2 linked regions of the Neodiprion lecontei genome follow. The protein of the gene in region 1 interacts with the protein of each later gene in a pairwise test. Links are inferred from orthologs where the notes say so. Each region holds a gene or a part of one and is shown on either strand. Other genes may lie near its edges. The genes, in order: translation elongation factor 2 and ubiquitin-conjugating enzyme E2 variant 2.

What was found.
Region 2: the proteins of translation elongation factor 2 (region 1) and ubiquitin-conjugating enzyme E2 variant 2 interact in a two-hybrid assay, tested with the Caenorhabditis elegans proteins (2 studies listed by BioGRID). The link is inferred for Neodiprion lecontei from reciprocal best matches to the Caenorhabditis elegans genes eef-2 and uev-1.

The regions. Positions count from the first base shown.
Region 1 is NC_060260.1:38,939,793-38,944,799, forward strand, and holds the start of translation elongation factor 2, read left to right. Parts: upstream 1-1,755; 5' UTR 1,756-1,907; coding exon 1,908-1,910; intron 1,911-3,012; coding exon 3,013-3,227; intron 3,228-3,357; coding exon 3,358-3,551; intron 3,552-3,854; coding exon 3,855-4,063; intron 4,064-4,175; coding exon 4,176-4,409; intron 4,410-4,691; coding exon 4,692-4,805; intron 4,806-4,883; exon of another isoform or gene 4,884-4,964; intron 4,965-5,007. UniProt on the Caenorhabditis elegans protein: Catalyzes the GTP-dependent ribosomal translocation step during translation elongation.
Region 2 is NC_060261.1:26,288,230-26,293,225, forward strand, and holds the start of ubiquitin-conjugating enzyme E2 variant 2, read right to left. Parts: upstream 3,305-4,996; 5' UTR 3,075-3,304; coding exon 3,050-3,074; intron 282-3,049; coding exon 139-281; intron 1-138. UniProt on the Caenorhabditis elegans protein: Involved in protein ubiquitination, but has no ubiquitin ligase activity on its own. The uev-1-ubc-13 heterodimer catalyzes the synthesis of non-canonical poly-ubiquitin chains that are linked through Lys-63.

The sequences.
Region 1 (5,007 bases):
CACAAAGCACACTGCGTAGCGATTTCTACTATCTGCTTGCCGCAGAATACGTGCTTTGGGGCTAGTTGCCACACACAGTGATTGAAGCTCTCGTTATTGTTTTGAGTGTTCGCGCCCGGACATCGCTTTTTTTTTTTGAAAATTGAGTGCGACAAAAAAATAAGTCGCGCGACTAATTTACGGCTAATTAACGGCAAATTATGCAATAGTCCGAATTCACATTTTCGACAATTGGCGAGCCAAGTTCATGTACGTGCAGGTAGGAACGAGACAATAGAAATAACGGTCGCACGGGCAGCTGTAGCGCTCCGTTGCCTTCTTCCAAGAAATGCTTTACAGTAACCGAAATAATCTGAATTTCGGCATGAAAATTTCGGGGAATATTCGGTAGAGTGTATACTATTCGATATAGCAAAAAAAAAAAATCGATTTTTTGAAAATTTCACACTGGAAAGCTCCCTTAATACACACAACTGTGCACGGTGAAAAAGGAGAAGCAATATTAAAAAAAAAAAAATAACGAGGAAAAAAAAATTGAAAAATCATTAACGTAAGAGGATAAACAGCAATAGTAACTTCACGTAAAGTGTATATTGTATGCGTGCGCAATCATGCGAATTCGCAAAACTCGACGGGAATAAATCTTTACTATTTCCACCTTTTGAATGTGTTTAAGATATTTTGTTTTACCTCTGATTTTTTAAATTCAATCACAATTATATGAATATTTATTAACCGCTTATGTATACACGCATAATGTATTGATTTGAAAAAATATATAACATATATCTTTGCAGAAAAAAAATAATTTGTTTGAATAACTATTTGTTATTTCTTTAAGAATTCCTGACGTTATTTTGTGTAGGCTACAGATGAATATTTTTATTTTCAGCCGAAGGTGATTGCGATTTTATCGCAACATTTCATAGGATATGGGAAAATCATCTTAATTCGTTGAAGCCTTGTCGAACTTGTGGAAGAACCTTCAGAAATGACGCTTTGCTCAAACACGAACCGCACTGCAATGGCTCCTACTACAAAAAGAGGATCAGACGTTCTGTAGGAGTAAAAACAAGAAGGAAATGAAGATGAGATGCATATTACATTCATTTCAGTTCACTAATGCGATTATATACTTACAACTAATATCAGAATTTGAATATTTATGCTAGTACAATAGTACATAATACGTTGCAGACAAATATATGTAATCATGTTAATCGAAGACGATAAACGTTTATACTATATAAGAGAGTCGTAAGAATACAGGTTCCATTGAGATCATCCTGTACGTCGAAGCAAACCAAACATAGTAAATAGAGTTAAGAATATTGTTGCACAATATTACAAAACCTGGTGTGTTGCACGCAGATCATGCAGATTGACGAGTAAATGCAATGTAAGCAAAGCCGGAAGATAGTAATTGCGACGCGACGACGAGTGACGCATTAAACGTGAGACGAATATTTTTGGTTGGGTAGAGTCGGTTGTTGTTTGAAAAAAGAATAATAAAACTAGTGAGAAAAAAAACTAACATTAATTTATTTTTCTTATGTTAATTAATCGCGGATAACGCAACCCTAATCCTCCAATGATAGCATACAAGCTCATTTAGAGATTGGTTTGGTTGTTTCACAGCGTCAGCATCCGTCAGGTGGCAGCAGTTTTCCGACGCCGTTATATTTTTTGTGCATGCGTGAAAATCAGAGCTCTGATTGGTCGGATTTAGTGTGGAGAGTGTGTGTATTGCTACGCGCGCGCCATCTAGGACGTACGAACAGAGATAGTGACAGAGATAGCCCTCTTACTGCACTCTAGTCCGCTTGACTATTCTTTCCCAGGGAGTCCGCCGTTGTTGGCGCACGTATATTTCTGACCAGGCTAACGAAAATCGGACAACATCCAAAATGGTAAGTAGAATTTTAGCATGATAATGGATAAATCGAATTCCGCATGAATCGGAGAGTGAAATAACGTGTTTATTTTTTACACCCGAGCGTCGGGGAGTAATGAAAGAAATTAAAAACTCCAGGATTGCTCTGGATTGCGCAACCCTCCGAACGTCATTGCTTGAGAATGAATTACCATTCTCGACAAGGACCTATCCTAATAAGAATTACGCCGAACCCTCTTCCATATTCTTAACGGCTATATGCTTCCAAATTTCGTATGTCGAATCCGAACTGAACGATGCAAATCTGTAGAATATGTCGATCGCATCCCTCACAGACATTGCCCGACAACGTGTCACAAGCCAACATGACGATCCTCTTGCCATATTCACCAGTTTTCTCGAGTTTACATGCTCTCACAATATTGGCCGAGCCTTGCTTATACGCTTTATTAATTATAGCTTTTCCCACGGACTCTCCTACTTTTCGAAATTCTAGGCGATTAATTTACCAATATGGAAGAGAGAGTATCAATATTCCGGAAGAGAAATGAAAGTAGAAGCGGAAAAAATTTAACTGAAGCTACATATGGGTATATTTGTTTAATGGACGACCAACTACCAAACTTAATCATATCTATTCAGATACTAATCTTAGATTAGGATACCCGTCTCCAAATTAAACAATATGTTTGGAATCTTACTACGTAATATGTATTATATCTGACAAAAGCATACTAGGGATATCCAAGCTTTTCCAAATATTTGACCAAAGGAGGCAACCGTTGATAATTAACGGTTGTCTGGAAAATATTTTTAATCCTAACAGTTAGGATTGCAGTATGACCTTTAAACCAATTAGTTTTTATTTACTGTGGAAATATCTATTTATCTAATCATGCTTATGAACAGGCTAAGAAAACTCCTTCATTGTCCACTGACTACAGGCTATTTTCAATTTCATAATTTATTTTTTCTACCATAACTTTACATTGCTATGAGAAACATTTTGTTTTGTAATTACCTGAACAAAGTTGCCAATCATTACTAGCAGAGTTTAAATTAATTGAAAAATAAACTTGGCTTATGTGTATTTAAGAAAATTTATGATTATACTTTAGGTGAACTTCACGGTAGACGAGATCCGTGGGATGATGGACAAAAAGAAAAACATCCGAAACATGTCCGTCATCGCCCACGTCGATCACGGAAAGTCAACATTGACTGACTCCCTTGTTTCTAAGGCCGGTATTATTGCCGGTGCTAAAGCTGGTGAGACCCGATTCACAGACACTCGCAAAGATGAACAGGAACGTTGCATTACCATCAAATCAACGTGAGTATTTAGTTTATTTTTTCAAATATTGCTATTACAGCATTTGATAACAGAAAATGATTTATTTAAAAATTCGAATAGCTCAAATCTGCTACTGATATTACATTCATTTTACAATACTGTTCTTTAGTGCCATATCCATGTACTTTGAACTTGACGAGAAGGACTGCGTTTTCATCACGAATCCAGACCAACGTGACAAAGAAGAGAAAGGATTCTTGATTAATTTGATTGACTCTCCTGGGCACGTGGATTTCTCAAGTGAGGTAACGGCTGCTCTGCGTGTTACTGACGGAGCTCTTGTCGTCGTCGATTGTGTTTCTGGTAAGCTGGATTGTATATAATTTTCTGTACACCTTCCAGCACACCAGGGCAACTCTGTAGTGCGCCGAACAATTTTTCTTGAAAAGCTGTTCCGTGCACTTTGACAGTGTTTGCAGTGCATTTATGGAAGAAGATCAAATATGTCACTTTGTTTAAACGCTGTCAGTGGACCTCTATCTTTATGTCCGATACTGGCATGCTACGACCTTGTTCCTACAAAACAAATTAATTCCTTTGAATTGTGTTTGATAAAAATCACAATGACCAAGTTGTGTTGGATTTCAATTGGCTACTTTTCTGCAGGAGTGTGCGTACAGACCGAAACAGTACTTCGTCAAGCTATTGCCGAACGTATCAAGCCTGTATTGTTCATGAACAAAATGGACCGTGCTTTGCTTGAGCTGCAGTTGGAAAGTGAAGATTTGTACCAGACTTTCCAGCGTATTGTTGAAAATGTGAATGTCATCATTGCCACCTACTCAGACGACGATGGTCCCATGGGAGAAGTTCGTGTAAGTTATCCGTGCTGTGTGAAAAATACCCTAACAAATTCCACAATTCATCACCGTCAATTAATAATTTGTAGATTGAACCAATTAAAATATTAATTTTTCCTTTCTAAAGGTTGACCCTAGCAAGGGATCTGTGGGCTTCGGGTCTGGACTCCATGGATGGGCATTTACATTGAAACAGTTTTCCGAAATGTATGCTGAGAAATTCAAGATTGATGTTGTGAAACTGATGAATCGACTCTGGGGTGAATCCTTTTTCAACCCAAAGACCAAGAAGTGGAGCAAGCAAAAGGAAGCTGACAACAAGCGGTCCTTCTGCATGTATGTCCTTGATCCCATCTACAAGGTATTTCTAAAACATATTATGTATATTGTGTCTCAAGTTTATTGATTACTGAACGAAAGACAATGCATTGAAACAACAAAGTTTTCACTGTACTATCAATTGGTATTTCTAGAGTGTTATGCACATTTAGAATGCATTTTTATTCTTTTGTGTAGTCTAAAGTGACTAACAAACTGCAAGTATAATAGAGTATGTCAGTGTGATTCAGTTCTATGGCTATTTTAGTATTCGTTACACGAAGTACATGTTTACTTATGAAATATGTTTTTTTTTTTTTTTCAGGTATTCGACTGCATCATGAACTACAAGAAAGACGAAGCTGAGAGTCTATTGCAAAAGTTGGGCATCACTTTGAAGCCTGAAGACAAGGACAAGGATGGCAAGGCCCTCCTTAAGGTGAGCCTATCAACACTTCATATAGAGTTATATTCAATAGTTTTGTGAAATACCACAAAGAAACGGCAATAATTTGTTGCTTATATGATGAATACTATATTAATTTCTGACACCTCTTCTGAACCGTTGTGAGGTAATCTATAAGCTAAATCTGACATCGCGTGAATAAGCGCATTCAAACGTTGCTCACAAGAAATGTTGT
Region 2 (4,996 bases), on another chromosome or scaffold:
CTTTTAATACCGCAACTTATTGGATTGTAACATATCTATTATCCTGCAGGTAAATTCTTATTATCAGTCACAGAGTTTTTTGTTTCAAAAATGTTCTCCCGTTAACTAACAAATTATCACTAATCAATGTCCACTCACTCTTGGTGGTCCAATTATCATTCCAGTCCAATGTGTTAAGGTCATATCATCGTCGTTCTCTAAACCCCAACTAATAGTTCCATCGCCAACACCTTTTTGCCCTTGTTCTAGCTCCTCGAGTAAGCGGAAATTTCTAGGGACAACTGAAACATAAGGCGATAGCTCGTTGAGGCTGACAAATTCACATTTACAGTAAATCATTACACAGTAAGATATTTACATCCTCTTATTGGTGTTTATGTAACTGAGGATTAATAAATCTTAGCATCACTACATATTCACAAATCTTCATGGGAATATTTAAGAATTTCCAGTAACACTACGCAAAGTTGTATATCGTTTTATTAGAAAAACAGTTGGAAGCTAAAATTATGAACAACGAGATCGGGTTGAAATTGGTGTTAAGTCAACATAACAAGACTAGGGTCAAATGTGAATCATTAACTTTCAGTTATAGAAAAATGTAGTCACTGCAGTTGTGAAACAAGTACAGCTTGCTGTTTCAATAATACCGGTGATAGGGAATAAATTTGCGAAAAAAAGCAGTACCCTCACTCTCGATGTGAAGCAGTGACAAAAACATTTCAATCACTCTCTTTCAATACTGTCACAAAGCACTTAGCATAGGGTACTTTTGTAAAAGTCGAAGAGCTTGGCCATGAGTGAGGGAAGCACTCGAGCTCAAAATAGGGGAAGCGGCACTATTGTCAGAGCACATTGTACATCGTATTTTTGAAATTCTCAAGTTACAATATAGCTATTTTTTTAACATGTAAAAAACATGCAAGTAAAGTTAATCGAGGTGAATTTCAGTGAAATCGTATTTTTCACATAGAAATATGTAGCAAATGTCAGTTAGAATAACCTAATTGCTAACTCCATAGTTTTTTCACCACCAAAAGCGTACTCAGCATTGTGTTGCTTACGTTGCAGAGTAACGAGATACCTATTGTTTACCTTATTAACCAACGCTGTCGGATGTTTTAGTTACTTAATAATCCGGCAAGACATGTTACAAGGTTAACTATAGATAACTCGCTGTGCTGCAACATAAGGGAGAAAACATATGGTAAAATTTATTTATCTCAAATGATACATACATAGTTCATTTTGTTCATGAAAAAATGAATTCTCTATGGTTCATTAAAGATAAATTACTGGCTCTAGTTACCGAGCAACTCTAAAGTTGTCTTACAAAATTCTAAGCTTCTGACTTTAAACTTCAAACTTTATCTTTCTGAAACTGTTGATGATCGTGATTGATCGATTTTTTCGGTGTAATTTAAATTTCCAGTTTTCAAACTCTTTTGTGTCGAAATGAAATTTTCTCAATTTCTGACCATTTTCATAACGTATATAATACTGGGCTTATACAAGGGTAATTGTTTTACAAAACTTCTTCAGTTAGTAAGACAATTTTTTCCAAAATTAGTACACATAGAAAAATATGTGATATAATTTTTCTAAAAGTTGGTCAAGCAAGTTGGTGTCGAAAAGTTGGTTGTATATTTGTTTTAATAAATCCTCGAAACTTCAGGCCCCTTAGGGGCGATTGTGTTTATTACACTCACATTGATTAACTTCAATTGCACCATTTAAAACATTTGAGATTTTTATTTGTATTGATTTTTAAGTAGATGATACAAGAAATGCGTCTGCAAGATCATTGGATGTTTAGTCGTTTATAAGACAATGACTTAAAAATTTTGGAAGAAGTTTAAGTAAGATACATTTAGTTCTATATATAAATTTTACTGAATTTGATAGCGTCATTTGCAAGTAATTAATCCTGAAAGATAATCAGTTATATACAGGCTCTAATGGTTTGTACTATTTTAGTTTCTACATGATCAATTGAGCTTTTCATTTACAACTCTGTACAAATTACCGCCTTATATTACAATTAAAACAAACGAAACTTAGAATAATTTAAAAGTTAGACAACTTTTATTATATAGAAATTTTTATACATTATTCTCCACCAGTTGAATTGACAATGTTGTATAAATGAAAACGATATCGTCGATGGTAAATGACGTGGGTACAGATTGTAGCATTTGTAGCTTAGTTGCTAGATAAATAATTGTGCAAAATTGTAATGCAATTAAAATTTAATTAGTCAAGCATACTGGGAACTAGGTCATGCCATTTCCTATACTCTGATCTAGTTTCATACAAAAACAAACATATCCATAAAAAATAAAACTGGACGGAAGGCCACTGTGTGCCACTACGTTTTCTATAGCTCAAAAATACATGAAAATGTTAGGCACGTCGTTAATAACATATTTTAAATATCAGATAATACCTAACATTTGTCTGAAATTAAAAAGCATATCAGAAAAGTATAAGGAGAATCGGTGATTAAGATCAAGGAAATAAGACATTTGGTTATTTCCAAATATGGAACAACTAAAAGGTAACGTTACAACACTAATGCTTGCAGTTTACGATACAAGACCACAAAATAATGAAAACATGTGTAATGGAGCGGAAGATGTTTGATGCATTTTGGTGGATACCAACGATGTGGATTCTTGACATCGGAGATATACGTCAACTACGACGACACATAGAGAAGACAGATCTAAACAATTTGACGGGTTGAACTGGTAAAGTATGAGAAAGGGGGTCGTCAAATAGACGCAAATGCAAAATTATGTATATTCTTCATTCGACTATGGTTACTTACGAACTAAGGAACGATATGCAATTAGGGGACAGGGAAAAAACGTGATCTGTCAGGTGACTAGTACTCATTATTGTGGAATTAGTAATTGGTTTCAGGTGGGAATATGATTATTGGATAGTTCGTGAGACTCTAGAATGGTCAGGGAGATCATTGAAAATGTACAAGTATGAATAATGAATCACGAAAATACGTGTGGTTAATACCACGATTAATACTGACCAACACCGGCCGTGGGTACCGCCATGATCTCAAAATTTGTGCGGCTTGATAAATGTTGGTTTTACTACGGTGTACAGCAATATTTTAGCGATATAACCACGTAATATTGAGTATTGCTTTTCTTACGATAATCTCACGACAAAACCTTCCATTACCTATACCGGAGGCTGACAAAAATCAAGCTCTCAATTTCAAAGTAAACTCACGTCGCAAAACTTCGGGCAACCTCCGGGAGGTTGTCTAATTACGTTGGTTATGTGGCAAGTGGAGATAGGCGAGCTTACAATCATTATCTGGGCCGACATTTTGTCCATATGTATTGGTGATGCTACAGAACTGTAGATGGCATTACTTCACTCACCTGTGACGTTGACAGCATTCCACGATGATTTCCAGATACTAGATACTAGGTTTGTTCGTGCTAGCTACACTTTCTACACTTTCGTGGGGAGTGTACACTTGCGCGTTTGTTTTAGCGGACGTGACGTCGGATGGCGCTGTTTGTTTTACAAATGTCACTAGACTTTTGTTACACTTTGGTCGTGTTCGAAAATTGACTGACATTGCTGTCAGCAATCTTTCATCTCTCTCGCGCTTCCAAGTTCGTGGATAGCTCTGACTCTGTCCTAGGGAATTTTCAGTACTGTCAGTCAATTTACGAACACGGCCTTTGTGTACACTTTTTACACTCGGTCGAGACTAAAGCACACGAAAATAAAATAATCTCGAATATAGGTGATGAGAGAAATTAATGACATTGTAGTCAGGGCAGCTAGGTGGTCTAATGGAGTAAGTCTCCGGTAAAGCATCTCTAGATACCAAGTTCGATTCCTGACTCCGTCGTTAATTTTTCAACTCACCTGAAAATTTTCGAAATTGTACTCTTTTTAGTATAAATATTACTGTTCCAGGTTACCGCCATTGCGAGAATCTTCGGAACCGATGCTACAAACCTATATGTAGGAACCATAATCCTTGTGAGTCATAATGCACCACTCCTAAGTGCATTCAGACATCGTGTGACGACGCATGGTCTGCCCGATATATCGTGGACAGAACGCCACTGCCTATACGACGAATCCGGTCGAAGCGAATACCTAAAGAGTATAGAATAGCGTAAAGGGCAGATCGCAGCCTGCCATTCCCGGACTTCCCGGCCAGGCGCCGGACCGACATATAAGATCGCTGCTCCAGCGTTGAGCCATCGCTCCGAGGACCGATTCCGCGTACCTGTCGATAGTGACTGTATCACGGAGTATGGAGCCATAATCCACCACTCCAAGTTGAGAGTTACTGCAAGTTGTTGCTCCCCATTCGGCAACTTTGACCGGGAGGTATCCTCCTTGCTCCACACATGCTTTTGCCATAGGGTCCCCAACGATAGGCAACTAGGAAGGTAAGGTGCCGGCAACTGAAAATTTTGTGAGAGCTGGTATCAACGACGAAATCATGAGCGGAACATTACGTGTCATCTATCGGTAATTTTTGAAGATGCGTAACACAATTACAACTGATATTCGCCACAGGAGGAATGACCCAATTATAGTGGGGAATAAACGACCAATTACAGGAAGCAGGATTACCTGACGACATCAGCGAGAACGGCGAGCCAAACCCCGACCTCCATCTATTCTACGCTCATGAGATTGAGATAACTCTTTCTATCTCGCTCGTTACGTGTAGAAATTGCCTTCACTTCATTTTCCTTTCCTTCTTCTTTACTGCTATCGCTACCGTTTCTCTATCGTTTTATATGACCGTTTAGCTCCTTTCCTTTTCTATTACCTTTTTTTTCTTACTATCGATAAATTTTATTTAAATTTAAATCAGTGCATGCGTGCCCGAGTCACCGGCTAAGGTAAGGGTTCTCCCGTTGTATTGTTTCGTTACGAAGTTGCTCGTATCTTGTTTTCTTATATCTTAATTCTCTATTTTGGTTGCATCGTG